4 linked regions of the Daphnia pulex genome follow. The protein of the gene in region 1 purifies or fractionates together with the protein of each later gene. This does not show direct contact. Links are inferred from orthologs where the notes say so. Each region holds a gene or a part of one and is shown in the gene's direction. Other genes may lie near its edges. The genes, in order: serine-threonine kinase receptor-associated protein-like, SUZ domain-containing protein 1-like, U1 small nuclear ribonucleoprotein 70 kDa-like and cold shock domain-containing protein E1-like.

Evidence for each region.
Region 2: the proteins of serine-threonine kinase receptor-associated protein-like (region 1) and SUZ domain-containing protein 1-like purify together in Homo sapiens (co-immunoprecipitation; 3 studies listed by BioGRID and IntAct, counting the BioPlex papers as one, with this or other methods). This does not show direct contact. The link is inferred for Daphnia pulex from reciprocal best matches to the Homo sapiens genes STRAP and SZRD1.
Region 3: the proteins of serine-threonine kinase receptor-associated protein-like (region 1) and U1 small nuclear ribonucleoprotein 70 kDa-like purify together in Homo sapiens (affinity purification with mass spectrometry; 3 studies listed by BioGRID and IntAct, with this or other methods). This does not show direct contact. The link is inferred for Daphnia pulex from reciprocal best matches to the Homo sapiens genes STRAP and SNRNP70.
Region 4: the proteins of serine-threonine kinase receptor-associated protein-like (region 1) and cold shock domain-containing protein E1-like purify together in Homo sapiens (affinity purification with mass spectrometry; 3 studies listed by BioGRID and IntAct, counting the BioPlex papers as one, with this or other methods). This does not show direct contact. The link is inferred for Daphnia pulex from reciprocal best matches to the Homo sapiens genes STRAP and CSDE1.

Annotation. Positions count from the first base shown.
Region 1 is NC_060026.1:10,620,731-10,628,955, forward strand, and holds serine-threonine kinase receptor-associated protein-like, read left to right. Parts: upstream 1-3,968; 5' UTR 3,969-4,162; coding exon 4,163-4,286; intron 4,287-4,345; coding exon 4,346-4,636; intron 4,637-4,699; coding exon 4,700-4,824; intron 4,825-4,886; coding exon 4,887-4,999; intron 5,000-5,063; coding exon 5,064-5,212; intron 5,213-5,267; coding exon 5,268-5,461; 3' UTR 5,462-5,613; downstream 5,614-8,225. Other genes in the region: succinate dehydrogenase [ubiquinone] cytochrome b small subunit, mitochondrial-like, read left to right, coding at 1,052-1,091, 1,278-1,590, 1,668-1,845; intraflagellar transport protein 43 homolog, read right to left, coding at 1,970-2,053, 2,125-2,263, 2,330-2,405, 2,471-2,520, 2,593-2,705, 2,768-2,779; uncharacterized protein LOC124205018, read right to left, coding at 5,743-5,876, 5,936-6,971, 7,040-7,259, 7,320-7,345. UniProt on the Homo sapiens protein: The SMN complex catalyzes the assembly of small nuclear ribonucleoproteins (snRNPs), the building blocks of the spliceosome, and thereby plays an important role in the splicing of cellular pre-mRNAs.
Region 2 is NC_060018.1:4,645,833-4,653,626, forward strand, and holds SUZ domain-containing protein 1-like, read left to right. Parts: upstream 1-3,187; 5' UTR 3,188-3,431; intron 3,432-3,494; 5' UTR 3,495-3,511; coding exon 3,512-3,598; intron 3,599-3,671; coding exon 3,672-3,724; intron 3,725-3,863; coding exon 3,864-4,068; intron 4,069-4,140; coding exon 4,141-4,220; intron 4,221-4,293; coding exon 4,294-4,402; 3' UTR 4,403-4,561; downstream 4,562-7,794. Other genes in the region: uncharacterized protein LOC124210484, read left to right, coding at 1-233, 308-422, 520-830, 930-1,760, 1,833-2,008, 2,117-2,340, 2,421-2,592; uncharacterized protein LOC124210490, read right to left, coding at 4,635-6,036, 6,122-6,318, 6,397-6,576, 6,641-7,189.
Region 3 is NC_060026.1:6,141,064-6,145,279, reverse strand, and holds the start of U1 small nuclear ribonucleoprotein 70 kDa-like, read left to right. Parts: upstream 1-1,416; 5' UTR 1,417-1,708; coding exon 1,709-1,852; intron 1,853-2,322; coding exon 2,323-2,440; intron 2,441-2,509; coding exon 2,510-2,574; intron 2,575-2,712; coding exon 2,713-2,775; intron 2,776-2,836; coding exon 2,837-2,918; intron 2,919-3,851; coding exon 3,852-3,932; intron 3,933-4,135; coding exon 4,136-4,216. UniProt on the Homo sapiens protein: Component of the spliceosomal U1 snRNP, which is essential for recognition of the pre-mRNA 5' splice-site and the subsequent assembly of the spliceosome. SNRNP70 binds to the loop I region of U1-snRNA.
Region 4 is NC_060018.1:4,244,429-4,253,134, reverse strand, and holds the start of cold shock domain-containing protein E1-like, read left to right. Parts: upstream 1-3,299; 5' UTR 3,300-3,400; exon of another isoform or gene 3,401-3,739; intron 3,740-3,810; 5' UTR 3,811-4,691; coding exon 4,692-5,144; intron 5,145-5,214; coding exon 5,215-5,394; intron 5,395-5,453; coding exon 5,454-5,638; intron 5,639-5,706; coding exon 5,707-5,917; intron 5,918-5,992; coding exon 5,993-6,225; intron 6,226-6,328; coding exon 6,329-6,590; intron 6,591-6,665; coding exon 6,666-6,815; intron 6,816-6,875; coding exon 6,876-7,001; intron 7,002-7,060; coding exon 7,061-7,311; intron 7,312-7,374; coding exon 7,375-7,613; intron 7,614-7,684; coding exon 7,685-7,900; intron 7,901-7,957; coding exon 7,958-8,087; intron 8,088-8,156; coding exon 8,157-8,364; 3' UTR 8,365-8,706. Other genes in the region: wolframin-like, read right to left, coding at 31-267, 340-474, 550-745, 809-939, 1,032-1,103, 1,160-2,065, 2,146-2,368, 2,446-2,562 and 2 more. UniProt on the Homo sapiens protein: RNA-binding protein involved in translationally coupled mRNA turnover.

The DNA of each region.
Region 1 (8,225 bases):
GAAATACATATTAACCAATGAACCCTATCACATCTTTGTTCCATATGAAACGATTTTTAATAATGACTAAAATCAATAAATTTAGCATAATAATAAACACTATTTATAGAATTTGGTAGAAAAGAAAAAAAGAAGAGGTCCTACTGAGAATCGAACTCAGATTATCAGAGTCAAAGTCTGATGTGCTAACCATTACACCATAGAACCTTATACTTATTTGACAAACACTAGTACTGTTTCATGTTACATCGTCAGGTTTTAGTAATCATCCTTATACCAAACAGCTGTGCAATGGTTCAAGCAATACTATTGCTCATGACAAAACTGCTCAGTAATGAGAAGATTTAAAGGGTTTGTATAAATGTATGTATAATATGCATAATACAAATTATACCAATGAGCACTATCACATCTTTATACAACAGGAAATAGTTGTACTTATTATTACTAAAATCAAACATTAGCACAGTAATAAACCCAATTGTTTAAAATTAAAAAAAAAAAAAAGTCAGATAGGTCCTACTGAGAATCGAACTCAGATTATCAGAGTCAAAGTCTGATGTGCTAACCATTACACCATAGAACCTTGTTCAGAAGAGAATGACAAAGAGTGCATATGTACGAAATTTTTCTTGGTTCCAGTCCTTCCGAAGGAAACAATTATAATCAATTAATCATAGAATCTCTCTTCTTCACTTTAAAACAAAGTTAAAAAAAATTATCTGGTCAATTAATGATATCTAATTAATTTGTATATCTTCCCCTACTTGAAAGCCTTTTTGCAGAATTTTTTGTTTGGTTTTTTATTTCATTTTTGTTTTTTCTTTTGGCTAAGCAAAATTTATTAATTTATTATCAAGCTACATTTACTTTGTAGTTTGTTATCCACTATCCATTCATTCCATGTGGCTAAAAAGGCAAAGTAGGCCTAGTCTTGACTTTTCCATGCACTTGCAATTTGCAAAGCACTGGACCATCTCAAAGTGGCGTAAATGAGAACTAGATTTTCGTCTGCAGTATCCGACTGTTATTTTGATAAAAAGACAGAAAAATGGCCGCAATGATGTCCGTTTGCAGAAACTTTGGGAAAGGTAATTTACTTACTTTACAGAGATTTCCAAATGTTGCTCGTTGAAACAACTTTAGTCCCAGTATAATTTAAATCCAACTCCCGAGTTCTGACTAAATTTTATGAGTAATATGTTATTAGGCATAGATCAATCTTACTGACCAATACGTTTCATGGACGTAATTTGTTTTACTTACTTTATTTACAGTGGGGTTACACAGTCGCTTGATACTTGGAAATCCCTGTTTAGCTGCTCTTTCAAAAAAGAACATTATATTTTATGAGAATAAAATTGTGCCTGTATCGCAGAATGCACTTCATTCTGTGAAAAACTTCACTGTGGGTCCCAAAGCTCTTGCCGAGACAGCCTCTTGCAAGTCAGCAGATGATCACACAAAACTTTGGACATTAGAAAGAGGTTTAGCACTTGCTCTGGTCCCTCTTGTACCTGCAGCATTTCTATTCCCTTCCGCAGCAATGGATTACTTGCTTGCTATTTCTTTCACACTGCACGCTCATTGGTAAAACAAAAAATTCTTACTCTTCAAAATAGAAAATTCTTAAGAAAGTCTTCTAAAAAAACTTGCAACATTTCTAGGGGTTTGGAAACTATTGTAGTAGACTACATGAGACCAAAAGTGGTTGGCCCTGCATTAGCCAAACTTGGTGTTGCTGTTGTTTATGGAATTTCAGTTTTCACTCTTGGTGGACTTTTCTATTTTAATTATTCTGATGTAGGAATTGTTAATGCTATCAAAATGTTTTGGAAGTTGTAAAAACATCAGGGAGTAAGAAAGAATATGCATACTACATTACAATGGGCTTTGTTTCAGAAGTGTGCATGTTATGTATTAGAATGTCCAATAAAAATAAAACAAGTTGTAAAAATGAGTAATTGTACTAAAAAGGAGATTTTTCTCTACCCAAGAATAATTCAGGCACCATTTCAGCAAATAAAACATCCCAATTCCATGGTACATCTGCCTGATTGTTAAATCAAAAGAAAATTGATAACATTAATAGAAGAAGCATGTGTGAGTATACTATGGTCATACTTCTTTCAATTGAGACTCAGGTAATATATTTTTTGTTAGAATCCTTAAATCTACCCCTTCTAAATATTGAGCCATATTTTGTTTAGAAATGCTATTGGCATTTAACTCTTTGTATGCAGCAGCTCGGTTATGATTTTCTCTAAAAAATAATTAAAACCCAGTAAAAATTTTGATGAAACATTTTTGAATAACTGTAGAATTTTACGTTTTTAAGTTGCTGACAATGTTGAGATCATCTACATCTTCATTGCTTAAGTCACTGGTGGTTGAAACAGGAACTTCTAAATTATTTCCATTACATAGTTAAATATCTTCAAAAATTGGTACAAATGATTATAGGCTGTACCTTCTTCTGATTCTTGCTTCTTCAATTTTATGGAAGAAAACCTCTTTTCTCTGCAAGATATCAATACCAATATGGATTAGAATTAGTTTATTTACTAAACTAGATGGGACTCAATGACTCACAGTGCGCTCAAAGCTTTGTTCGACTGTTGTGTTTCATCCGCCCATCCACCCTGCTTCTTGAATCTTGACGTTGTTTTTGTTCCATTGCTCTTAATAGGAGACGTCGATTTTTTCTGTCAAGATTACAAATGTTAAGGTTAACACAAATTAGGTACGTATTGAAATTTTACATTACATCTTCGTGCATTTGAGAAACACTTTGTAGCTAAAATTGACAGCCAGAGCCAAGTCAGCACCTTTAATAAATAGCCTACAACTCTAACAAGTCGAGTATTGGTTTCCATGGTTACTTATGCCATGGTGTTCCTGGTGGTGCTTCAGGACAACTAAATTTTACTTTTCGCAGAATGGTTACCTCTTAGTCTCTTACCTGAGCAAGGTAAACTGGGTTTAAATAAGGCTTATTATATTTGACAAATTACAATAATTTATAGTTTTAGCTACGATTTATTTGCTTAACTCATTAACTGTCGTTTCAGTGCTACATAGATAAAATCGAAATATCACTATATTTTCATTAACACCGTTTACTCATTTTGTCATTTAACGCCCACTTTACTAGGCTACCAATTACTTTAGTTCTAATAATGAAAAATTTTCTTGATGTTCCCTTGAAACATTGTTTGCGATTTTTGGCATAACAAATATTTGGGCTGCTTGTACATTTTACACATTCAATATTTGTTTAGCGTTTTTCTAAAAATGAAAAAATTTAGCTGAGAAAGCAAGAAAGTACTAAATGATACATTCAGAATTAAAAAATGCAATTGCGTTTTAGCCGTTTACACCTTACAGTATATTTTAACAGTTAAGATTTGTCCGCTATGATTTTCCGCACAGTGTTTCATCCGATCCCTAGTAGCCTAGCCTGTATAAGTACAGTTAGGGAAACCGGAAGCTCTTGTTTTTGTGCGCACCTTTTGTGTATAGCAACCTTTAGCTTAATTATGTCTACATAATACTCAGACAGTTCTTGTAGTTCTTTTTTTAATAGTAAAAGTTTACCATCCGCTCAATAACGCCACATGACGTACGTTTTAACTATAAATCTATAATTCTTTCTACGTCAACAAAATGAACTTTTTAAAGGCTAAAATGCAGCCGTACAATACCCATGAACGGTACAGTAATTAAATCACATTAGATTATTGTGATTTTTCCCAATGAAAAATCTATGTGATCGGCCCAGATCACACTGTACGTCGTTTACCTTTTTAACCACGCATTAAAATCGGCTCAGAAAGGATTGATTTTGCGTGCTGAGTGTGAATAATCAATTGGGGGCATTCTACTTAAAAAGTGAGTTGACGTCACTCTTGCACAATTGCATAAGTCCTGCATTGCTATCGGTATTGGCCACAGATGGCGTCAAATGCCGGGATAATTTTCCCTATGATCCTAGTGTTCTGCAGTCGGCAACACCGACAACCGACAACCTGCTAAGTTAGCCAAGGGGCTTTAATTTACCATCAATTCCCCAATTTGTGGCTTCTTTTGTAGTTTGACTGCCCGATCAAGTAATTCCCATCTCGACTCTGACCGTATTAAATAACCAAATAACTTTGGGATAATGGCAGTTCCTACTACATTACGACAAACACCCTTAACTTGCAGTGGACACACTAGGCCTGTCGTTGACTTGGCTTTCAGCGGTTTCACGGAGAAAGGTTACTTTCTTATATCAGCATGCAAAGGTATTTGTTAATATATTTCATTTCTTAGTTTATCCATTAACCGTTATAGAAAAATGTAGATGGAAAACCCATGATGAGGCAAGGAGATACTGGTGACTGGTTGGGCACATTTGAGGGCCACAAGGGAGCTGTATGGGGAGTTGCTTTAAGCCAAGATGCCAGCAAAGCTGCATCAGGTGCTGCTGATTTCATTGCTAAAGTCTGGGACGCTGTAACAGGGGAAGAAATATATTCCTTCCAACATCAGCATATAGTCAAATGTGTGGCCTTTTCCCCAGACGGGAGCTTGCTTGCTACTGGAAGCAATGAAAAGCTTCTTCGCATTTATGACTTGAATAATCCAACTGCTGGTAAATAAAGTACTTCAAAAATTATTTAAGAAACACAAAACATGAAGCTTCTCTTTTTTTTAGATCCATTCATCATATCTGGCCATACCTCTGGATTGAGACATATTGCATTTCTTGGTAAGGGAGAGAAGATAGTTAGTTGTGCTGACGATAGAACCGTTAGATTTTGGGAACGTTCAACGGGAAAGGTACAGACTATTTAATCTTTTTACGTCTTCTCAAATTAAAATTGTTAATATTCCGTTTACAGGAAATTCACCGTATAGATTTTACCTCGATCCCTAATGGCATTGAAGTTTCTAACGATGATTCCATATTAACGGTCGCTAGCGGGAACACAGTCAGCTTCTGGAATACAACCAGGTAAACGACAAATAGGTTTTCATTTTACATACTTTGCTTAATAACTTCTTGTTGCAATCATCAGCTTTGAAAAAATAAAAGAATATCAAGTGCCTAGCCAAGTCCATTCGGCCTCATTACATCCTTCACGCTCAGTCTTTGTATGCGGTGGCGAAGACTTTAAAATGTATAAAATGGATTATTCCAATGGACAGGAAATAGAATCGTTTAAAGGTAAATCTTGTCTATAGACAGTAGTTGTGTTTATTAACAATATCTTTTTTTTTAGGTCACTTTGGCCCAGTTCATTGCGTCCGTTTTTCTCCCGATGGTGAATTATACGCGTCAGGATCAGAGGATGGAACCCTTCGTTTATGGCAAACTACCGTTGGTAAATCCTATGGTTTGTGGAAGTGTAGCAGCGATACTCCTACTTCATCCGAAATTCTGTCTTCACCTGCTAAAACCGAAACTGTGGCATGAAGTGGAGCAGAGGAAATGACCAAGTTATATTCCTTTTTGTTCCCAGTTATAACCTCAGTGATCTTATTCACACCACGATAACAGTGGTCACTCGACTTGTAAAGACGATATCATTTTTGAGCCATCAGGAAATACAAGGAATCCATCCATTCCTTAAACTTAAATACAAATTTCGAAAAGGCAAAGACAACACGGTTCAATGTGAAGCACGAATTAGGTATACAGTAGGCGTAAATCCAGAAACAAAAACTCTTATAAGAATTATTTCGAACGCTTGTTAGTTAGATCTTCACTTTGACATCTGGGTGTAATGGCTTGCTTGCTCGACGATTACGTGATAAACCTAATCGAATTCCTGTTGAAGGAGAATTTGAATTTCCATTTGAAAAAATATTTGCACCACCGCCGGCTTTACCTTTGAAATAAAAAAGTTCAACACTTGAAAAGTAATTAATTGGCTTGTGATTGATTTACCTGGTGGTTTCCATTTCACTGCAACCCTCAATGGCGGACTAGGTGGCTTGAAGATGTGAACAGGATCTTGTGTAATTTGGGTGTTCTTGGAAGGTACCGCTTCAAAACCTCCGAGTTCGTCGTTTTTAGGAAGGCCGTTGTCGACTATCGTAGAATGAATTATTCCTGTGGGTTTCGATGAATCACATGATTCATCTCTACATTGCTTAAGATTTGTCACATCTCTTTTCGAGTTCGTCTCAGGCTTCTTTTTTAATTGCAGTTTTTGTTTCAGGACTTTCGTTGCCTTTTTGGCAGTTTTGGTAGGAGATACTGCTTCCGCTGACACTGGTCGAATTTTATTTGAATCTTCAGAAATGTGTTGAAGCGCGGAAATTCTTGGGTATTCTTCAGCTTTTTCTAATTTATGGTCGTCTTTTGATACTTTGATTTTTTCTTTTACAGATGTGTGAATGTTATTCTCTAGGGCAACTGGTAATTCACTGTCTTCATTGATTGAAGCAACTAGAACTAAGTTCTGGCAATTTTGGATAAGTTGTTCAGGTAATGACCTTTCCACCATTTTTGTGCAGGGGGATAGTCTAGGTAGCAGTGGAAGTGAAGTATCTTCACTATCATCTACTGAAAGTTTTGTAATGGATTCAACACTACCACGGGTATTCAACTTTTCATCTTCTTTACTTTCAATTTTGATCTTCTTATTTTTTGCTGTATCACTTTCACTGATGATCCTTCGTTTGGTTATTCTTTCTTCATTTGTTTTAAGGGGTTTGAAATCCTCATCCTCACTAACTATCTTCTTTTTTGACTCATGTTTTTGGCACATGTTTTTCACTGTAGCAGATAGCTCAAAAGTGGTTCCACAGATTTCAGAGTCTGAAGAGTCACTCAGTTCATGAGGAGAAAGACATTCACACGTGGATGCGATAACTGTATCTTGTGACGAAATGCTGTGAATTATCAAATCAGGTTCTGCTATGGAAAAATCAATCTCTTCCACAATCTTTGATCCAGCAATTATGGGAGGCTGAATTGCCTTGAAAAAAAAATGCATGCAAAGCATAAGATACTAAGTAAAAAAATGATAATATTTTAAATTCAAACCTTTGTTGATTGATCTGAAATGGGTTTTAGTTCTGTGAATTTCGATTTATTAGACAACTTAGTTTCCTTTCTTGAACCTAGCTTCAATTTACTCAGTTTTGAAGGTTTCGATGCAGTGGCAGAGGGTTTTGAAACCTTAGTGTTGACAACGAAATCGTTGTCACTATCATCTGATGATCTATCGCCATTCATGGCTGCATAATTTATCACTTTCCGAGTTCTTCAAAGAGATATAAAAATAAGTCAGCATACATTTATTCCATGAGTTATCAAGTAGTACCTGGTATTTGGCTTTGCAACTTCCATTTTAAGCACATTGAAAAGTAAGACCTTCAATCAAATTCCAAACAAAGATTACGCCTTGTTTGAAATAGCGGCGAAAATCACTCTCTCTCTTTCGGTTAGTCTTCAAGTGTAGTCTGCTATCACTTAGGAGCCGCCTGGCGGTCAGATTCAGAAGGGGGAGGGTCGGAGGGAGAATAAACGGGAAACGGAGGATGGGCATGGGATACAGGCCTGCCTGAACAGGGTTATAATTTTCTAAAATCTGGTTTATTGAGTTCTAGTTTGCGGCTGGTTTGCGGTTTCCTTTTTTTTAACAAACAACAACATAAAAATAATTATAAACTAAATATATATGTATGTTGGGTTGGTTGAGGATTTATATAAGGATGCCACTTCACTAACTACAAAGTTTTCAAACTAAGAACAAACAATTTCATCTGTATAAGCCAAAGGCTTACATTCACATCTGTATTGATGTCTTCATCCACAGTGGTCTAAGAATAGCACATAAACAAGTAGAAAGCAATCAACAGTCACAGGAAAAATACCGATTTTACATAAACACACAAACAGGCTTACGGTACGTTACATTCGGGAAAAAAGGGTGGGTATACAGAAATACCAATATATACCTACTCTTTAGAGTGGCAATCATGGTCAATCAAATTGTTACCAATCAAAGACAGTTCTTCTCAAACTACAGTATAAACAATTGGAGAAAATAAAGGTGGTTTGAGAAAGACACGATATTTCAAAGACGTGAACAAGAGGGGCCGTTTAAAAAAGAGGGACATTGGCAGGTCAGTACTCTGTACGGCGAAAGTCGTCAAGGAATCACAGCAGATATTGTTTTCATAGTATAAATGAGAGTCAAGGTGGACGAAGATTCAAAGTAAACTAA
Region 2 (7,794 bases), on another chromosome or scaffold:
CTCCTCCTCCTCATCTTCTTCTTCCTCTTCCTCTTCCTCTTCTTCTTCTTCTTCTCCCTCATCTTCCTCCTCGTCGAGATCTTCCGCTCGAGGACCGGAAAATGAGTACGAGGAGATTTACTCCGTGCCGAATTCCAGTGCTCGAAGCGTTTACGAAAATCCGAACGCTCTACGGAATGATACGTCTTCTGATGAGGATGAAGATGACATCATTTCCATCCCTCCGCCTCCGGGTAAGTGTCGCTCCTGAAAATTACATTAACCGCAGTCCATTAGTTTGTATTAACTTTGGTTTTATCTTTTTCAGAATTTTGCGGATCGCCGTCTGATGTTTCCAATGACTTGCCGCATTTTCATAGTCGACAAGCCGACGATTCGTTCACCCGTACAGCCATTTCTCCGTCGATGGGAATGGAACACCGGTACCGTGTTGCCTCCCGTTTTTTTTTTTTTTTTTTTTTTTTATTTTCATTTTTTTTTATGTTAAATAATTCCAACGGGATTTCATGTTTCGGACAGGCAACCGAGTTCGTGCAACACACTGCCGCCACCACCTCCTCCTCCTCCGCCGTTCCGAGCCGAGGACTCGAGGGAAGAAGGAAATCTGGCCGACGTGGAAAGTTCTTCCGTCTCCTCGTCACTGACTTCGGATTCGGGAGCTGAAGATTCCGATAGGAGTAACGACGACGACAGCAGCAGTGTAGGAGGTCCAATCAACCTTACTCTAGCCGAAGCCACTAGGCAATTCTACGCTACAAGAAACACCGATGACCCGACGATGAAACCCTCGTTCCTTCGCAACACCAGGAAGGGCATCCGCAATGAATCAGGTCAGTATGCAACGAGTTGACGAAGAAATTGTTTGATAAATGCCAGTTTAGTGAAATCTAGGTCTGATATATCTTGTTCTCTACTTGTCACACAAACAGGTCATACCTGCTTGAATCGGCCGATGTCGCTACCAGCGGACATGGGTGACGCACTAATGGAGTCCTTGCGTTTGCATGCCGACCAGCAACAGGCTGCCAATCCGGTAAACGGCGGTCCAAGTAGCAACAAACACATCTTGCTGAGCAAGCAAATGGCCCTACCCTTCATCCCTCCGAAATTTCCGTCACCATCCGAGACTGACACGTTGATCAAGCCGTCGGAATACCTGAAGTCTATCAATATGGCTCAACCGTCAAACAGGTCCATCCGACCTCCTCCCATGCACAATCAGCGACACGCACCTGCTCCAATCGTCTATTCTTCAGTGCCTCTGCCTGCGTTTGAGAGCGTCAAGGAACAGGAAGAAAAACGAGTGGAACTAGACCAAGGAGAGTTGAATGACGTCGACACAGAGAATGTATATGAAGAAGTCCAATCACTGCCGGATAATGAGGAAGAAGAAGCGGAAACCAATGAAACCGTGCCAATTGCTCCCGCAGTCAATAATGAGACGACTAAAAGTCCTGTAGTGGCACTGCTCAGCAATGCGTCTATGTCAGCACCTCCTCCACCCCCGCTACCGGTCATTCCGGAAGATGACTCTTATGTTTCGTACCACAAGCCTTTGACAACTACTCAAAGTGTCAACAATCATCAGCAACAACAGTCGCAACCACATCACGCACCATTGGCACCGACGAATTCGCTATCGCAGCCTCTGTCGTCCATCAGCATTCTTGACCTTCAGAGTGTCCAGTTGCGCAAAACTGAAAATAAACTAGCGAAAACCGTATCGGCACCATCGAGAGCTGCTGCTCCTCTCCCAATTGGTATTTGCTGTGTACATACATTGCATCCTGATTTTAGATTTATTATAAAAGTTGACAATTTTTTGTTTCCAGCCGAAGTAATTCCCGTTCAGCTTGATCTGATCGCTGAACTTAAAACCTGCAAAGATATCTCTGTAGTTGGTATTAAGAAACTAAGAGTTGAACGCGCCAAAGAGGAAGTTCAGCAAGAACAAACTCAGGCCAAGGAGTTTGAGAAACAGTTTACATATGACAACTTTTTGGAGAAGGTATTCTATCCTTAATATGTTTTTGAATACTTATGTTTGTTTTGTTTTGTTTTTTCTTTTGAAAAGAAACGTCGTAGCATCTATAAATGTTTTTGATTGTTGAATAAGGTACCGGACAAGGACGTAACGGGAGCTGTGATTCCCGAATGGAAGCGGCAGATGCTTGCTCGCAAAGCAGCTGAAAAGGCCAAAAAGGAAGCCGAGGAACAGCGTCAGCGTGAGCTCGAGGAGAAGAGGCAACAATCCATGCCGGCATGGAAGCGCCAACTCCTACAGCGCACTACAACTACAGCAACTTCGTCCGATCGGAAGGAAGTTGAGGATGTCAAACAGTTAGTTTTCTTATAAATGTTAATTAATAATTTGGCATCACGGTAATAAACTCTCAATCTTTTGTGGTTTTATTGTCAAGATCGCAAAATAGAAGCCATCCTTCTGAAGAGGTGAAAGCGGAAGCCGCATCAGTTTCGTCGTCGGTAGGTAATCACCCAGTGTCTACGTCGCCTCGCCCCGCTGAATCAGCTGGAGTGGGCGTTATCATTTCACCTTGGCGAATGAATCTTAAGAAACCAGCAGCACGCTAAAAAGAGAAACATCATGAGTTTTTTTTTTTTTTATGAAACGTGATATTATAGATTTTTTTCTCGTTATTTTACCGTCGAAATTTGCTTGTTTCAATTTTATCTAATTTTTTTTTCCCACTGGGTTGTTGGTTTTACATTTTCAAATGCTTTTTTTGATTTTTGTGTGGCCTTATGTAAATAATTAAGGAAAAAAAATCTGCTTTTGAGAACCCATATCTTGGGATGATTCTTTTGTTGTTGTTAACGGAGAAATATATTATCTAAATTGGTTCCAATATTTATTCTTTGAAATTTTCTGAAATTCGGAAACATCACATTCAGTGTTACCCAGAGAAAAGGTGTTAACACTAACATCGAATGAATTTGAATTCTTAACAACCAACTGACGTTTCGTTTGGTTTAATAAAAATAGTGAAATAAAATAGTATAAAATACTGTTTGATTTTTATCAAATATAAAGAACTGTAAATGGGAAATTATCAAAATACTATCTGCAGTTCAATCAGCTGCTAGCCTGCTGCATTCGGCATTCCACGAAGGCGCATTGGCGCATTCCTGAGTACCGTATGCGAGAGACGCCTAATGATTCAATCTGGCAACAGCAAAAGCTGTATACATTTAAGAAAGTAAATGGCTCTTCAATGGAACATGTCCGTCGTCGAAATCTGAGTCGGTGATCAGGGATAAAGGAATAATTTCTACCATCTACAGTTTTCCCTTTGTTTTGTTCGTTTCGAACCGACTATCTAAAGAACTATGATTCATTAACTTCATCAACTGCAAAAACTTTTATTCAGTTTCTATAGGTAGGTTAACCATTTAAAATCTGCACACATGCTGTACGTGAGACGAAAAAATGTTGGCGTGTATCAATTGTGATTAATTGCTACTACTCATTTCAGTTTAAACGAAACAGTGAATGGCCTACATGTCTTCTTTCCAAATGAAAAGCCCTCCGTCTGATGGTGAGATTCTTGATGATTGGGAACAGATGGCTGATTCTGGTGTAAGTCGAATATTTCTTGAAGTCTTTTGCTACCGTCATATTCATAATAGTAAGTCATCTTTACATATTTTAGCTTCTTGATAAAAAACTTCAAAGTTTGAAGACCAGAATACCAGAAGAAGTGAGGTATGCTAAATTTTACTTATTATCCCATTCATTTTCGTAATGACAGATTTTAGTTCGGGAAATTGCATTAGTGTTGAGTTCCCTTAATTCCTTCTTGAGTGTAGTCAGCCTTTTAATTTTCAATTTGTGTCTTGATTAGGAATCCTGATGAAATTCAACAGCAAACTCACTTTTTGTTCAATGGAGATGGTAGTGTGAAACCTAATGTTCTTGGACCGCCTCCTCAGATTAAAATTCTTAAGCGACCTCAGCATAATGGATCAGCTCATGCTCACCAACAGGGTGCTTTTGCTTCATCGAATGGCCAAGCTAAACCCAAGCCCCTGGTTAAAACACTCCAACAGGTATTTCCATTATTATTAAAATTGAATTTGTAAGTGATTGGGTTTAACTAAAGATATGATTTCTTAATGTAGAAAGAAGCAGAGTATGCTGAAGCACGACTACGAATTCTAGGCGAAGCTGCTCCAGCCAACATACCTTTGCCAGACCTTGGGTAAGTATCTGGAATTCTAACTTAGAACAACCAGAATATAATTAGTAAGTTTATTATGTTATTTTTTTTTTAGTATAAGTAAATTACAAAATCGAATGGAAAATCTACGAACAGAGGAATCTTGTCTCGTCCGCCTGCCAAAGGGTCCTGACGGAACAAGAGGTTTCAACCAACAAAATTAAGACTTCCTTTTGCTTTACTTAAACTGCGACACCTTTTCTTTAATTTTAAATCTATAATTTCTCCCACTCTGTTTTCTTTCCACAAATTGTTTTTCCTTTTTTTTTCTTGAGGGGGGCGTGTGCGTGTACAGTACAACTACTGAGCTATTAATCAGTCAATACGATGTGTTTATTGAACAGCATTTTATTTTCGAACGAAAATTCACAAGAAAATAGATTAAGACCGACTAAACTACCAAGAATCGACTTCGTCTAAAAGGTGTTTTGGAAAGGGTTGTGCACCGCACCAGTACTGTTCAACGCACTGACAAATGGGAAAATACTCATCTGGAGCGTGAAGAAAAATGGTTTTGATGTGACGTGTCATCTCGTCGGGAACTAGTTGCAGATCTTCTTTAGTATTCAAATCATTATTCGATTTTGCGTTTTTCTGGCCAACTTCGTCTGTGGTTTGTGGATGTGAAGGCGGGTTTTGAACAGGGATAACTGGAGCTGTTTTCGGTGGAAGATTGCTATCTGCTTTTGGAGGTTGTAATGTGGGATATTGAGTGAAATTGCTCGGAGAAATTTCGACGTTGTCCTTCAAAAGTGATTTGTTTAATTTCCCTCCTTCGTCAAGCACTTCTACTAGAGGTTTGCCATTGTACTGCAGTTCCAAAGTTTTCTGAACTGTACGACTTAAACATCCAAACCTTTTCCCTTCAACGGACTTTATCCAATTTCCTATTGTCGGGAAACTGAAACCGTTCATTTCAATTGTCCCATCAGGTGTTAGAGATCCTATGTATATGCGATTGTTAATGTTCATTTTCATGTTATTTTTGCCAGGGGATAAAACTCCTTTAAGGACAAATGGATGCAGGTTGAAACTCATCATCACTATTTTGGGTAAACATTTCCGGTTTCCACTGAACAAAGAGAGCGTCGAATTCTGTGAGGCTTCAACAATAAAGGATTCATCTTGGTAGTTGGTAGCATTTACGTTCTCTGCGATAACAATTTCTTCCATTTGCTGTGATGAATTGAAACCGTTGCTGATGGTGACGCGAACAGGATTCAATTGTGAGTCATTAACCTGCAATTTTTTTTGAGATAACAGCGATTCATTTGCATTGAGGGTGGAACTGAAGGAATTTCGACAGATTTCCAAGTAGTTTCCGCTGATCGGTATGGTGGTGTCAGTCGATGGCATTGCAAGTGTCTGTAAAGGGTTTCTTTCGTGGATGGAATCTTCAGCTAACGGAAGGTTCAAATCAACTTCATCAGGACGCCGGAAACCGTCTGTCGAGGTATCCATTCGGAGAACATTTTTTCGAGGTAAAGTTGATTTATGGCTTTCCTCACATGTTCCGCTTGTATTGGGTGCATAAGATTTCTTGGAGGATTTTTTCTTTAAGCTTCTCAATGATCGTTGCTTTCTTAAAGTTGTTTGGGTTGGCGTCTTCTTGGGGATTTCATTAGCGGATTCTTGCGTAATTGTGTCGTTTAACTGCTGCGATACTCCAGACAATTGGATACCATTCTCTTCTTGCTCAATTTCAACTGTCATGTCATTTCTCAATACTTGGGATTCGAAATGTGATGCTGTTGCGTCTGGAGTTCTAACAAGGATTTTTTCAGTGTTTTCATCTCTTCTAGAAGGAATAATAAAACAAAATTAATTGCAATCATGGCATACATTCTATGAGACTGTTTAAAGCCTTATTTTTGTAAAGATACTTGTTAAAGGTGAGTGGCTGCTGACTTGATTTCTCTTTGGTCTGCTCAGAACCAGATATGTTGAAGCTATGTGAAAAGGAAGTGGTCAACTCATCAGTGAAGGTTTCAAGTTCAAATCTTTTTTTTTTGCATAGATTAACTTCATGTAGAGTTTCATTAAACATAGCTTTGGTAAGTGCCATCATTTCCTTCCATACCTTCAGTAGAAGATTATAACTTTGAAATTTGAAAAATTGACCTACAAGCATAGTATGTAATTGAGATAGAACACATACCTCAAGAGGCATCCCTAGTTCAAGCTGTTCATTATCAAGAATACCCATCATCGTTTCAATTTGATTTAGTTGTAGACAAAGAGGCCTCACATTACACATTCCCTGTTGACGAATCTTCTCTTGTATTACTTTAAGTCCTCTTTCAATGGCTTCAAGTACATCCAAATCCCTACTAAAAACCTGTAATAAAAGAGCAGTTATATAAGATGGCATAAAATTATAGAATAAAGTATTAATTATATACTTGATACATTGTTCCATTCAGCTTGCAACTGTAACCTTCTACTTTTGGTTTCTTTATCTTAGCTGATTTCTTGCTTTTTTCTTGAAGGAACATTCTTTTTGAAGGCGCTCTAATAGTTTGGATTGAAATATTATTTGAAGACTCAACGGTTATTAAATTACTGCTATTAAACAGATAATCTGTAACATTTCTGTTTTCCCAATTTAGGGATTCCCCTTGTGGAGGGGGAGTTTCAGAAACATTGGTCTGGTCACAGAGAGGTGAAAGAGCTAGTAAGTAAGCAGGATCTGTGAATAGCATAATCTCATCCGATGAAATTGTCCCATCTGCTGAATGCTTCTCATTGCCTAAGAGCAGTTCATCTTGTGAAAAATCTCCATCAGAACTTATCAAATCAAATGACACTATTTGAGTTGATGTAATTGGTGGTGAAAACCAACTCTCTCCTAATTGCTGACTTTCATTATCTTTATCACAATTGCTGACATTTTGAAAACCTTCATTATTCACAAGATTGCCATGAATTATACTATCTGTTTCATCAGTCATGGTAGCAAGCAGGTAAGCAGTGCTTCTGGCAAAGGATACTAACTTGCTTTGGGAATTTCCGCATTTGAACTCCTTGGTCAGCCTTGGTGTATGATAAAGAATCTGTCGCTTGTCACTAGGTGGCTAAAAATTGTAACTGTCAGGTGGCGGATTGTCTGTTCGATCTTCGATCTTCGATTCGTCATTCGTGTTAGACGTGTAATGTCAATGTCATGTATGCTGCGACTGTGATTGTGCAACTAACATAAGATTTCTTTGTGTTCCTACGTTCCCCATGTCATGAATCGAGGCGAAATGGGCGAAACAAATTGTTGCTAATTATCATGGCCATGCTAATTATACTTATATTCCTGTGATTTCAAATACCAAATTGAACTTCGTATCTTATGTAGGTTTATCTTGACCTACTTTCTTAATTTTCATATTATACCAACTTATTTCTTCAAATTTCAGATGCAGCATAGCTTCTGTCAGCCATCCCAACAAGTTGACTTAGCGCTCAGTCACTTTCCATCCATTAGATCCTCATGCTGTCAAAAGCCTAAAACTCATGTTTGATGCACACATATAGTGGAATGCAAATGTGCGCAGATAAGGTATTTTCC
Region 3 (4,216 bases), about 4.5 Mb from region 1:
GGGAACCAAAGTAGCTGTTCCGTTTTAGGACACACAGCTAGGGTTTTGTCCTTGACGCACCAGAGGTGCTTTCTTCGTTTTAGACTTCACACATTCTTCCGATCACACTGCATGATTTCTTGAGCAAAGCCTATAGAAAATTCGAAAAATTGCACTGACAAATCCGCTGGGGCCGACATGTATTAGCAACTGGCGTTTTGGTGTAGCGGAATTGTGGATAATATATCCAAATTATTCAGTTTAGGAGGTTTTCCCATCTAGGTATCTCGGGCAATCTGCCTTAGTAGAACTATGGAAACATGTTCACAGATTGTATGGTTCCATTTTTGGGTTTATTTTTGTGGGCGGACCGGCGGAGTGCTTGCGGTCACGTGATGATGGAAACTCGATTCAGAATCATGTCGTGTGTATCAGACTTTGCCGCGTTTTGTTTGTTTATTTTTTTGCATGTGCTAACGATAAAAAGGCCTATCCTTAAGCTGAGTTAAGCATGAAGGACGAAACAGTATGAGTTTTTTGGCGCAAAAAATTTAGCTAACTAAAGTAAAATTTTGTTATGGTCTTAAAGTAGAGAGCTAGAGACACCGTCTCAACTTTCAGACGATAAATACATCAAGATTAAAGACATTCCTAATCCTAAGAAACCATTAATTTCAATTAATTCAATAATTGAATTCTACGCCATCAAGAGGCCAAATAATATCGAACAGTTTTTTTTTACTTTGTTTTGGTTTGTCTGCAAGTAGAAGTTGAAATCCAAGCTGATTTTTGAAAACCACAATAACATTAACCGAACTTAACCGCATCAGCAATGTATTTAAGAAAAGGCCGAAAAGGCTTTGTAAGAAAGAAAGGAACTAATTTATTTATTTACCAATATTTGGGACTTGGATGTAATTGAAAGATGCTGTACAACTTGAATCTTTTGAGATGCAGTAATGAAATAAATCTTACCGTATAAAATATGTTTACCATATATTAAACCTTGTCAAAAATGCACGTAGAAATTCCCCCTTAGTCTCATTTGAAACCTAATTATGTCTATTTTTATGTAGTATTTATAGTTTTTTTTCCTTAAAGAGCATTAATTTAAATGTTATAAGTTACCTACTACCTACTTACTAGACTCCACTTTCAAGAAATTTAATGAAAAATATCAGCGCCAAACCCATTAAAATCCAATAAGCAATAAGCAACAAGCAAACTAAAGGGCCGGGGGTCTAGTATTACGATTATAATATTTAAAACAATATAAAAAGTAAAAACTGATACAAATTGGTTGGGGCCAAAACGCTGTTTTTGACTGTAGTGACTATTTACTTTTATATATGTCTGATTCTGATCTGGTATTGATTCGTCTGCTTTTTTAAATTTAGTTTTATTTCTAGTTGCCAAATATATATTTTGTTGCTAGCCTATTTACGGCTCAAAAAAAATTTATGAAATTGGTCAGATAAATTAGAAATTACAAAATCCCGCTGTTTTTCCTAAAATCTCAATCCCATCTCATCCCACAATACCCGTTTTTTAAAACGGGTATTTTCAATTTTAAAAACTTGAAAATTTCAAAAGTGGGAAAATCCCACCAAAGACCAAAGTGGCAGCCCTGCCGAGCAATAGATAGACAGTAATGGACTAATGGCCGACAGCTAAGACGCTCGACCGAGAAGCTTTTTGAAAGGTCCATGCTCATTGAAATATTTGTGAAATGACGCAGTTTTTGCCTCCAAATCTTTTGGCTCTTTTTGCGCCACGCGATCCCCCTCCATTTTTACCACCACCTGATAAATTGACTCATGAAAAAAAAAGAACGCCATACATTGGTATAGCGCAGTATACAAATCTGTTTGAGGTTAGTATTTGATTCCATTAAAAATTAAAAATTGATATAGTAGTCAAGGTAAGTATTGCAATTTGATCTAATTTGATTGATTTGGGAAGTAATGTATGTCTTAATTTACTAATGCACGGGTCCCAATCCCAATTTATGGAACAGTTTTGGTTCATTTATTCATTCTCCTCTAGATGTGTCGATGAGAATCCCAAGTTTTCATGTGTGACATGTGAGATGCAAAATATTTTGTGAAAATGTTGTGAAAGTGTCTTAATTTTCTGGAAGCACAGTGTTTCCAGCTGAGCCTTTTATCAGGTTGACAATTTAATGTTAGCATATGTCTGAGGGGTGTAAAGTAGTCATTGTTTCACAAAGTTTTAAATGAGAGATGTGGAACGAAACATTGCATACTAGAAGCATTCTGATGAACTAAGTACTGAGCTTTCAAACATAACGAAATTTTTAATATCATTTTATATTCTTAACAGGATCCTAAAGATACACCCCCTCCTACGCGAGCAGAAACACGGGATGAACGGCGCGAAAGAAAACGTCGCGAAAAGGCAGAACAAGTTGCCTATAAACTTGAACAGGAAATTGCAATGTGTAAGTTCTAATTTTTGGTGTGTTTCTACAATTTCTTTTATCAATTTCCCTTTTCTCTGGCATTCATAGGGGATCCACACAGTAATGGTGTTTCTACCATGGACCCCTTCAAAACGCTGTTCGTTGCTCGCATTGTAAGTGTCAATACTCATACTATAATTTTTTTTTCTCATCACTTTTATTTTATTTCGAGCTTAATGAATAATGAGTGCTAAGTTATAACTAGTAATCCGCATGAATGAAACGATAATTCTTGAAACATTTTCTCTCAGAATTTTGATACTTCGGAATCTAAATTGCGCAGGGAGTTTGAAGTGTACGGAGTTGTTCGGAAGGTAACTTACAAGCACCATGTGAAATTTAATCACACGCTTACCACGCTTTTTAATGTTACAGATTGTGTTGGTGCATGACAAGAGGACTAGTAAGCCACGCGGTTATGCATTCATCGAGTATGAACATGAGCGAGACATGCATTGTAAGTATTTCTTTTCTATTATACCTAAGTCGTGTGGTAACTGAGGGTAGTGGGCTAATTAGTAAGGCCTGCGATAGCTTTCACTGTTCAATTAATCGTCGCACCACCAATTTGTATGATGATGAAAGGGGTGGGGGTGAGGTGGGGAAAATCTGTGATTGATTTGTACCTTAAAGTTTTCCTATATTTCATTTTGTCGTTTCCGGTCACAGTCGCGGCCTCCGACTATTTGGACGGTCATGTGGCCTTTGTCGCTTTTTGTCTCTTGATGCTAGGTTTGTATGGTCAATTGGTAAGGTTTCGTTTGGTTAAAGTTAAACCAAAATCCCTTTGAAATCGACTGCAGGTTCAAATTAGCTTCAAAGAAAGTATCTTTTCGTTTTCACCCTCCCTTCCCCTTGATGGTAGTAAGTATCCTGGTAAGTCGGTTACTAGGCTTTCTAGCGCCACTAAAAATTAGGGCCATTTCAATTCGATCAGATTCTTCGAGTGCTGCTGCGCGTTAAGAGGATTCACAGGTAAAGATGGGGACAGCTTGAAGAGGGAATGGATCTGCTTCTGTGATTGGCAACATTTGATCGCTTATTAATAGATCTGGATGTTACGTGAACATAGCCGTAATCTGGTAAACGGCCGTGGCGTTGGTTTTTTATGCATTTTCCAAGTGTTATGATTGGTCATACTTGAAATCATTGCATTTTTCGTTATTTGTTAATTCACGGTAAATATTTTTCGAAATTGCTGGGAGGGGTAGGTAATGGAGATCCTTCGGTAGGTGATATTAGGTTTGTGATACTAATTGTTGGAACTCTCCTTCTCCATGTTATACACGCTGAATTTTTCGTCTTCTCTGCCTGCTGTACTACCCGTATTTACGATTTGTTCGTTTTGCCGACGGCGCCGAAATACTGGTTTGTTGTTTTAAAATACCAGCTGCGTACAAACACGCCGACGGAAAGAAAATAGACGGCCGCAGAGTTCTTGTAGACGTAGAAAGGGCAAGGACTGTCAAAGGTAATTATTTTAATTAAATAAGTTTTATGTTTATAGTTTGCTGCCCTTTTTTTCGAAGGCAAATTTTAAAATTTGTTTTGAAAATCCATAGGTTTTTTATTTTGATTAATCAGTGTAAATAAGTGCACAAAATTTTTTTCTTCTTGTTAGATATTATAATCATGCCGCCATGGTTTCTAAGTACCTAAACTATTGCATTCCAGGTTGGCTTCCTCGCCGTTTGGGTGGAGGCTTGGGTGGGACTCGTCGTGGAGGACCAGATGTAAACGTAAAACATTCAGGAC
Region 4 (8,706 bases), on another chromosome or scaffold:
GTTCCAAAGGGCTATTTTATATGCATGTACCTCGAGACGGAGAGTGAATTTGGAAAAACGATCAACATGGCATAAGCTTCCGCGATCATGATTAAGCTTCCAAAATAAATTACACCGCCTCGAATCAAGTGACTGGGGCAACCCGTGGTCGTGATTATGACAGGGAGGCCACTTTTCTCCAATTCGACATTTCAGCCATTCAAACCATTTAGGCGGGAGCCATTGGAGTAGCGATTCTACAACATTATTTCGGCTTTCAACTGAGACCTGTTTTGACAAAAAATTACAATGATTGCACTGCAGATTGTCTTGTTATTTAAAGGGCAACGAAGTTCTTACCTGACGTACAACTCCCTCCCATTTCACAGTTAAACCACTCAGTGCGAAACACGCCATTTGAACAGAGGCGATAGAAGAACTAGAGTAGGAGCGAGGGGAATAGGAACAAAACTCGTGATAACGTTCCCAGTTGAGCTTTTTGTTTAAAAAAAAAGAGTGAATTATTTTAATGAAATTAAATAATGTACGTACAGCGATCAAATTAATTACCTCCATGGAATCGGAATTTAAATCAACATCATCTAAAGATCCATGGATCATACCACCTGTTCCTGATCGTATAGGAGTCGGAGGAACGGGGGTCGTCGTTGGTAAACCCAAGACGTCTTCGGGAAGTGTGTCGGGAGCTTTTAGGTATTCCAACAGGCGGTAGGTGAGTATGGCTAGGCATAGCACCATTAGTATGCTATAATCGAATTTTGAAAGTAAAAACAATCCAACATGTATTTAATATAAAAACAAGTACTACCTTTGATTCCTACGAGATAGGAACTTAGTCCTCATTTGAACTATGACGATGAGACAACCAACTACTCCTATACCTATCCAAGGGTTTAATCCGATGACAGATCCAGACGAATAGAAGGTAATGCAAATAAGCTGTTGAAGAGATGTTGATTTAATAGTCAATAACTTAAAAATAACCCAAAAACATGGAACGAAGATTTCAAGTTTCAAAACTTGTTACGTACCACATTGACTTTTGTTAACCAATTAGAACGAAGAAGTGCGGCAGCAGCAAGAAAACCCAGACCTCGTAAGATCTAAAAGAAAAGTTGAAGATAAAATGTAACAAACTTTAAAAAAAATTGAAAGTTACCCCATCATAGCCTGATAACTGGAACCAATCGATGGCTAGGAAAAGCCAGAAAAGACTGAGGAAATGCGGTAGTGACCAGGCTAATCGATGGCTGGCATAGTTTAACTGCCTCATTCGTTTGACGTAGAAATAAATCAGAACCAGGATTCCTGCGAATGTGACAACAGTTCCTAGGTGAAAACGAATACTCCAAGGGGAACGGTATAGTTGGATCCAACGCAGTGACATGCTTTCGTCATCATCCGAATAGAAACTCCAGGGGGTGAGATCAGCACGCCAAAGGATCCAGCAGGTCAGGCATAGGATGTCATAGAGTCCAACTCCAATGTGCGAATCGAGACAGGTAGAACATAGTAATGCAGCTAGGACACTTAGCTCACCAAACGGGATCCAAGAACCAGGATTGGGTAAAGTGGAGCGCACTAGATGAAGTGCGGGTTGGAGTGAAATACACAAAAGGGTTGCCAGTAAAAGTCGACCAAGATGATATGGGAATGTACCGTAGATATATAAATTTTCAGCCGTTGCTGGCTCAAGCAAGCGTTGGGCATGCTGAGTTAAAAGCAACGACCAACCATGGAAAATATTCCATTCTCGGACAGAGTGGCATGACTGAACTGTAAAGTATATAGCTGCTGCCAAGGCCAGAACCCAAGAGAGCAAAATTAAGGCAGAAGAAAGTTGCAAGTTAAGCAACACGATGGGGTTGCTGAGAGCAAAGGATACTATATAATAAACGATTACTAGCGTAAACATAAGATATAATGGAAGGGGATGAGTGTAGTCGATAAATTTGCTATGCTTCAGTCGATGATAGAGATAGCTAAGATTTTGTTTGGATCCTAGATTGAGCAACCGTAATAGGGGAGGGAAGTGACCGGATGCGTAAACAGAAGCTGCTGACATCTAAATATCATTTACAGAAAGAAGTAGAAATAGACTATCATTAGCGGATACAATTTGATGATTCGAGACCCTTTGCATACCATGTGTTGTTCACTGATAAGTTCTCCTCCCAAAACCAAAGAAGAAGAATCAGTAACTTGTTTTAGAGCTTCTCCATTCTCAAGCTGTGATTTTTGTTGAGTAGCAAATGATTCCTCTAACCACTGTTCCAGTTGTTTAGTAGTGATGAATTCATTTCCTTGAGCCATATTAGTAAACAATGTTTTGGCCCCTAATCTTGCTGCTCTCTCATGCTGTGACATACTGGAAAAAAGGTTTGCAATGGAAATGCATTAATAAACATTTACAACTAAGGGTCGTAGTGAATTTTGACAGCATACTCTAGGAAGGAACGAATTTTATGGCAATTGTTTTCTGTGATGCCCCTATTGGTTTCAAAACATGTCTTCAATAATTCTGCTCCTTCATAATGCCCCTGATCAGCTGCTTTCAACAACCTGAAGGTAAAATAACTATGTGAGGAATTTAAATTTCAAGCAATCAAATTTCATAACTTTACCAATGAATTGCCATTTGATCGCTTTCCCCACAATTCTCTGAAAGAAACTGTTTGGCTAGAGCCACTTGGCTGTGGCCACAACCTTCCTCTGCCATCCTTAGTCGAAGTCTCTGTAGTGATCCATGTGGACCCTCATGAAGAACCCATTGTTTCCCTGTTATTCAAATTAGCTATAATTATGTGATTAACTAAAATTTCACAACGTTCATGTAATTACGTTTCAGTCGACCGTTTGACGGGCCACTAATACTGGTGTTTGCTGGGGGACTTAGTCCGCTTTCGGACACACTATTGGTAGACCCGTTATTCAAGTCGGATTTTGAATTTGTTGCTGCCATTTCAAAAGACGTGACGAATAAAATACTACTCAGAAATAATTACAAACCGATATAGACATGATTTACAAATCCTTATCTTTTCACTTAACATCGAAACTCGAAAGCTCACCGCTCATAAAACCGAAATTTTCGTCTGCTAAAACGATATCAACCATCAAGGCATCAACAAAGTATTGATTAATTGAGATTGTATCACAAAATCAATGCCAATTTTATTAAAATTCTATAGTTAAATTCAATTTTTCATTAGATGTGTATTCCATTATTTAATGAATTCCTTACAAATCCACATGCTAATCAAAGATTAATATATTAAGATCAGTACCATCTAAGGCCACTATGGCGCTTTCGTCTTCGAAGTACTTTGTAACGCTACGCGGGGCGCTTTCGTCAAATAAGTTGTATCATGGCGGCTAGTCTGCTGTGCCGTTGCGTTGGGTAAAGAAATATTATTTTTGGATTTGTGTTAGTTCGTCAAATGTGATCGTATTTATAGTTATTTTGATATAATCCCTGTTGTCGATAAACGATAAAAGAATATTGAGGGAATTTATTTTATTTTATCACGACAACGTTTACTGTACGCTTATACCATAGCATTACGTGAACGCTTATTTTCCGGTGGCATGTTCAGTAACAAAAGTAGCCCAAAGGCTTTGATTTGACAAAAATCGTTGATATGACATGATCACTTTTTTTGTTGGATTTTGAATTAGTTTGGACTTTCTGTTTCACAACTTAAATTGTAATTTAGTTCCTTAATCTCTTGGCATTTATGTAAATTTTTATTTATTTTTATACCACGAACAATTGTTTCACTTTGTGACATTGTTTTTGTGTATTTTCAGATTACTGTAAGAACCCTACACCCAAAAGAGTTGGTCACCATCTTGAAATCGAAAATAACTTCTAGTTGAAGACTCAGCGTGCTTTCAGCAAACAATACAGCCACATTCATCATTAACATATTTAAGCCTCCCATCCATCTACAGTTCTTGAACATCAGCTCATTGTTTAGTGTTATTCCCCTCTCTCACATAAGAAAAACATAAATATCTCTGTCTCAAGCCAAAAGAAAACTTTCCTTAGATATTGTGTTCAGATCTATTGGCCTTTTGAATTTCACCTTCTTTGGAACTATTGTCATTCATATCTGTATCCCAAATTGGTGTGCCAGTGTAAGTGAGTGTGATTGTGTGGTTGTTTTTAAGGGTAAGGGAGTAATTGCTGGTAGGAATTATAGCCCTTAACAGCAACCCATCAAGGAAAAGGCTCAGGTGTTGATCCCACATCCCCTCATTGTGTTTGTTATCCCCATCCTTTTGTTTGCTGGTTATCCTCAACCATTGGTTGCAGTGACACTTTGAGTTCCAACTAAAGTCTTCTATAAAACCATTCAATTTCATTGTGTTACCAAAAGAGTGTTACAACCAGCTGTAACCAGAAACAATCTCTTGAGCTAGGAATTTACAAGCAATTTACCATCGTTGCCTTATCTGTGATATTGTTGTCGTACATTAAGAAAAGAAAAGAAAAAAAAAAGTTAAAAATAATTTACTCAAAAACAAAACAAACAAAAAAAAAAACGTATAGTGTGTGCCCAACATTTGAATTTCCTTCCTATTTTTGTGAGTGCTTAGTGTAAATCCTCTATTCTGAAATCATCCACCTAGTTCTGTTCCTGATCTTTCCCTTCGGCGACCTTCCGCTCTAAAAAGTGCGAAGAAAAATGTCGACGAATCCACAATGGAACTCATCTCTCTATTCTCCCAAGTCCGCTGCTCCGGCTTCGCTCCTCGGATTCGGCTACAACGGTGGCAGCAATAGCAGCAGTAACCTCTTGTCGTCTTCTGGAGCTGCAGTCAACGGGTTCAACAACTTTTCATCATTCGGGCGTTCAAACTCTGGCAGTGGAACATTTTTTGCCTCGCAGACGAACTCTACCAGCACTCAATTTTCGATCAACAACGGCCAAGGTGGTTCAATATCACCTACACTTGGATCTTCGTCTATCGGGCACTTTCCCATTGGCACATTCAATGCTAATTCGGCTTTTAGTGAGGATACCATCAAGACTTCGCCCGCTGTTCACGTGGGCAATGGAAACGTGCATCGTGACGGAGGTTCCAATTCTCCAAACAATCTCGGCAGTAGAGAAACGGGAATTATCGAGAAACTACTGGTATGAAACGTAATTTTATTTGTTTCCTGGTCAGTGTTATGTTATAATGATTTTATTTGTTTCGTCTTAGCATTCCTATGGATTCATTCAGTGTTGCGAACGCCAAGCTCGTCTCTTCTTTCATTTTAGTCAATTTGACGGCAATATTGAACACTTGAAGATAGGAGACCCTGTTGAATTTGAAGTGACTTACGATCGCAGGAACGGGAAACCGATTGCCAGCTCTGTTTCTAAAATCGCTCCTGAAGTGGTATGATTCATTTTCTTACTTTAGACAGCGCTGTTATTTTATTTTAATCGTCCTACCAGGTATTGAGTGAAGAGCGCGTAACTGGAACTGTCACTACCGAATTGGGAACTGGCCAACAAGGGCGCATAAGCTACGAGAATCGTGGCGAGTGCTTTTTCTTGCCATATGGAAAGGATGATGTGGAAGGAAACGTGACACTCTCTGTTGGTGATAAAGTCAGCTTCCAAATTGCCACTAGTCACAGGTATCTTTATGCTTTCGCGAAATGATAATGTTAATAGCCTTAACATTTCGTTCTCTGTTTTTCTAAAGCGGTAACCTGGGAGCTCGTTATATCCGCTTGGAAAACCCGGCTCATCCAGTTCGCTACCAGGGAGTGGTTTGTTCTCTGAAAGAGAGCTTTGGATTTATCGAACGTGGTGATGTCGTGCGCGAAATCTTCTTCCATTTCTCTGAAGCCAAAGGCATTGCTGACACGATGGAACTCGGTGACGACGTTGAGTTCACGATCCAAACCCGAAACGTGCGTTGCGTCTAGAGAAAAAAGAAAGAATTATGCGAGACCTCTAATTGAATTTTTGCTGTTTTATCTGTTTAGGGGAAAGAAGTGGCTTGCAGTATAATCAAGTTGCCTTCCGGAACTGTCGTCTTTGAAGACGTCAACCCTGAAACTCTGAAAGGCCAAGTATTGAAACCTTTGGAACGCGGTGCAAATGTTGCCGCTCTTAATACGGAGCCACTCTCTGGCAGACTTCGCTATCGTGGACGTGATCGTTCGGAGGTAGAAATTCCATTTGGTGATAAAGATCAAAAGGGCGAATATACACTCAGGTATATCGATAGATTTAGTTGGCCTCCATATGTTTTTTTCTTGCTCCTCCACTTTCAAGATGGATCAATAATGAAACTGAACTCATTGTTTATTATGCCCCAGACATGGAGATTGGGTCCAGTTCAATGTAGCGGTTGATCGCCGTGATAGACTGGAACGCGCCACCAATATTGAGTTGCAGGACGAATCATTTGTGGTCTCGGGTGAGAAACGTGAAACCGGTGTGGTAGCCGCTGTCAAGGAAGGTTATGGCTTCATCAAGTGCGCCGAGAGGGACGCTCGGGTCTTTTTCCATTTCTCTGAAGTAATTTCATTGGACGAGGATGTCGATCAAAATTCCGAAGTAGAATTTACGATGTCACAGGTAGCAAAATTCTTTTAGATAATCAGTGAATTGATCGGGAATTAATCGAGTGGAATTAATGTAATCTTGTTAAAGGATCAAACGCAACCCAACAAGCAAAGCGCAGTTCGTATAAAAGTGCTGCCCCCAGGAAGTGTGCAATTTGAAGTGATAACTCAGCGAAACATAGTTGGAACTGTTACCAGAGAACCGTCAAGCAGTTGGGCTCAACGCAGTCCTAGTCGGGTAAGATCGATTGCCTTATCTATTTTCTGGGAACAATTTCTATGATATATTGTTACTTAGGTGAATGGAGAGAGGTCAGCTGATGATATGGGGCTGGTATCCTACCAGCTGAACGGAATAATGGAGCATGTGCCCTTCCAGATGAGAGAATGTGATGTTCGTAATAGCCCGCGTCTGGGTGATGAGGTAAGCGCGTGCTTTAGAATTTCCTTGAATCGATATTTTTATCTTTATGTTCGTTTTAGGTTGAATTTGATTTGGCCCAAGTAAAACGCACGAAGGAACACATCGGTCTGAATATCCGTATAATACAGCGTGCCCAAGTTAGCAAATCCAGTAACAAGTTTTCGGAGAATGGAGAGAACAACAAGAACGATGCGCAACATACAAATGGAGACGCGAACAAAGTTCAAAAAGGATTCATTGCGTCGTTGAAGGATACATTCGGGTTCATCGAAAACCTCTCACACGATAAGGAGATATTCTTTCACTACAGGTTGGGTTTTTGTTTATTTTTATTTGTTAAGACATCTTTGACATATTCTATTTATTTTGGTAGTCATTTTGATGGGGATGCCGATTCTTTGGACCTGGGTCACGAGGTTCAGTATACTCTTACAGGTAAAACCCCTTCGTCGGGGAAAATATCTGCTGAAAACGTTAAGTTGTTGAAGAAAGGAACCATTGCCCGACACGCCATCGAGGAAGAGATTTTGGATGGTATTATCGTTCGCCCACTGAGAAACGTTAATCCCGACCAAGCTCAATATGCGGGACTAGTTAAACTAGGCGCTGACAGTAATGACTTTTTTTTGTTGTGATTGTTCAAAGTTCAATTTAAAAAAATAACCCAACATAATTTATTTTAGTGGATGCTGAAGAAGTGTCTTACGAATTTGGAATCACGAGCTTAGCTAATAAGAAAGACTTCCTCCAACGTGGCGATCAAGTTCAATTCCAAATCGAACGAACTGAGGACGGCAAAGAAAGAGCTACTCGTATACGTGTTGTTCGTAAAAAGCTTCGCTCTACAGTTGACGCTATCAAGGGCCAGTTTGGATTCCTGAATTATGAAATGGAAGATGGTATGCTTAGTTTAAAAATTAAACGTGAACTATCAATAATTCAATTTAAACTTGTAGGTAAGAAGCTTTTCTTTCATCTTTCTGAAGTGAAGGATAATGCAACTCTTCAACCCAACGATACCGTCGAATTTGTTCTCATTACCAACCAACGTACAGGGAAATCTTCGGCTTGCAATATTGTCAAAATGTAAGTGCACACAATTTTGCTAACCTTATTTCTTGTGCTCATCATTGGTTGTTGTTTTATCAAATACAGGGAAACCCAACGTCCAGATTGGTTGGCTGCTCGTCTACGTACCATGTCGGTTGACGAGAACGGACCCCGCTTCTATGTGCTTCGCCAACCTAAAGGTCCGGATGGTACTCGAGGATTCAAAATGGCACCTCGTTCATCGGTATCTAGCAATGGCGTATCGTCCTCCAAGACCAATGGCGACTCGTCTGAAGCTGTGGGCAATGCCTGAATGACATCGAATTGGTTAAGCTACAACTTTGCTGTTTCTCTTTAACACTTCCCTCACTCAACTATATCTTCGTCGCTGAACAAATAACGAAAGAAAGAAAAAAAAACCAAGCATGTGGGAGGAGTCATAATGAGGTTCTTTCCTTCCCCCCCCCCTTCCTATCGTTTGAGGTAAAAAAAAAATAACGTACAATTCACAAAAAAATATCAATATTTCTTCTCTTAACAAAAAAAAATCTACTGTAACGTGTTCGCATCGAGGAACCGACTGTGATGGGGTGGGACTTCAAGCGTGTTTTACAAAATTAAATAAGCAAAAAAAATCTAGTAGTGTGCGAACTTG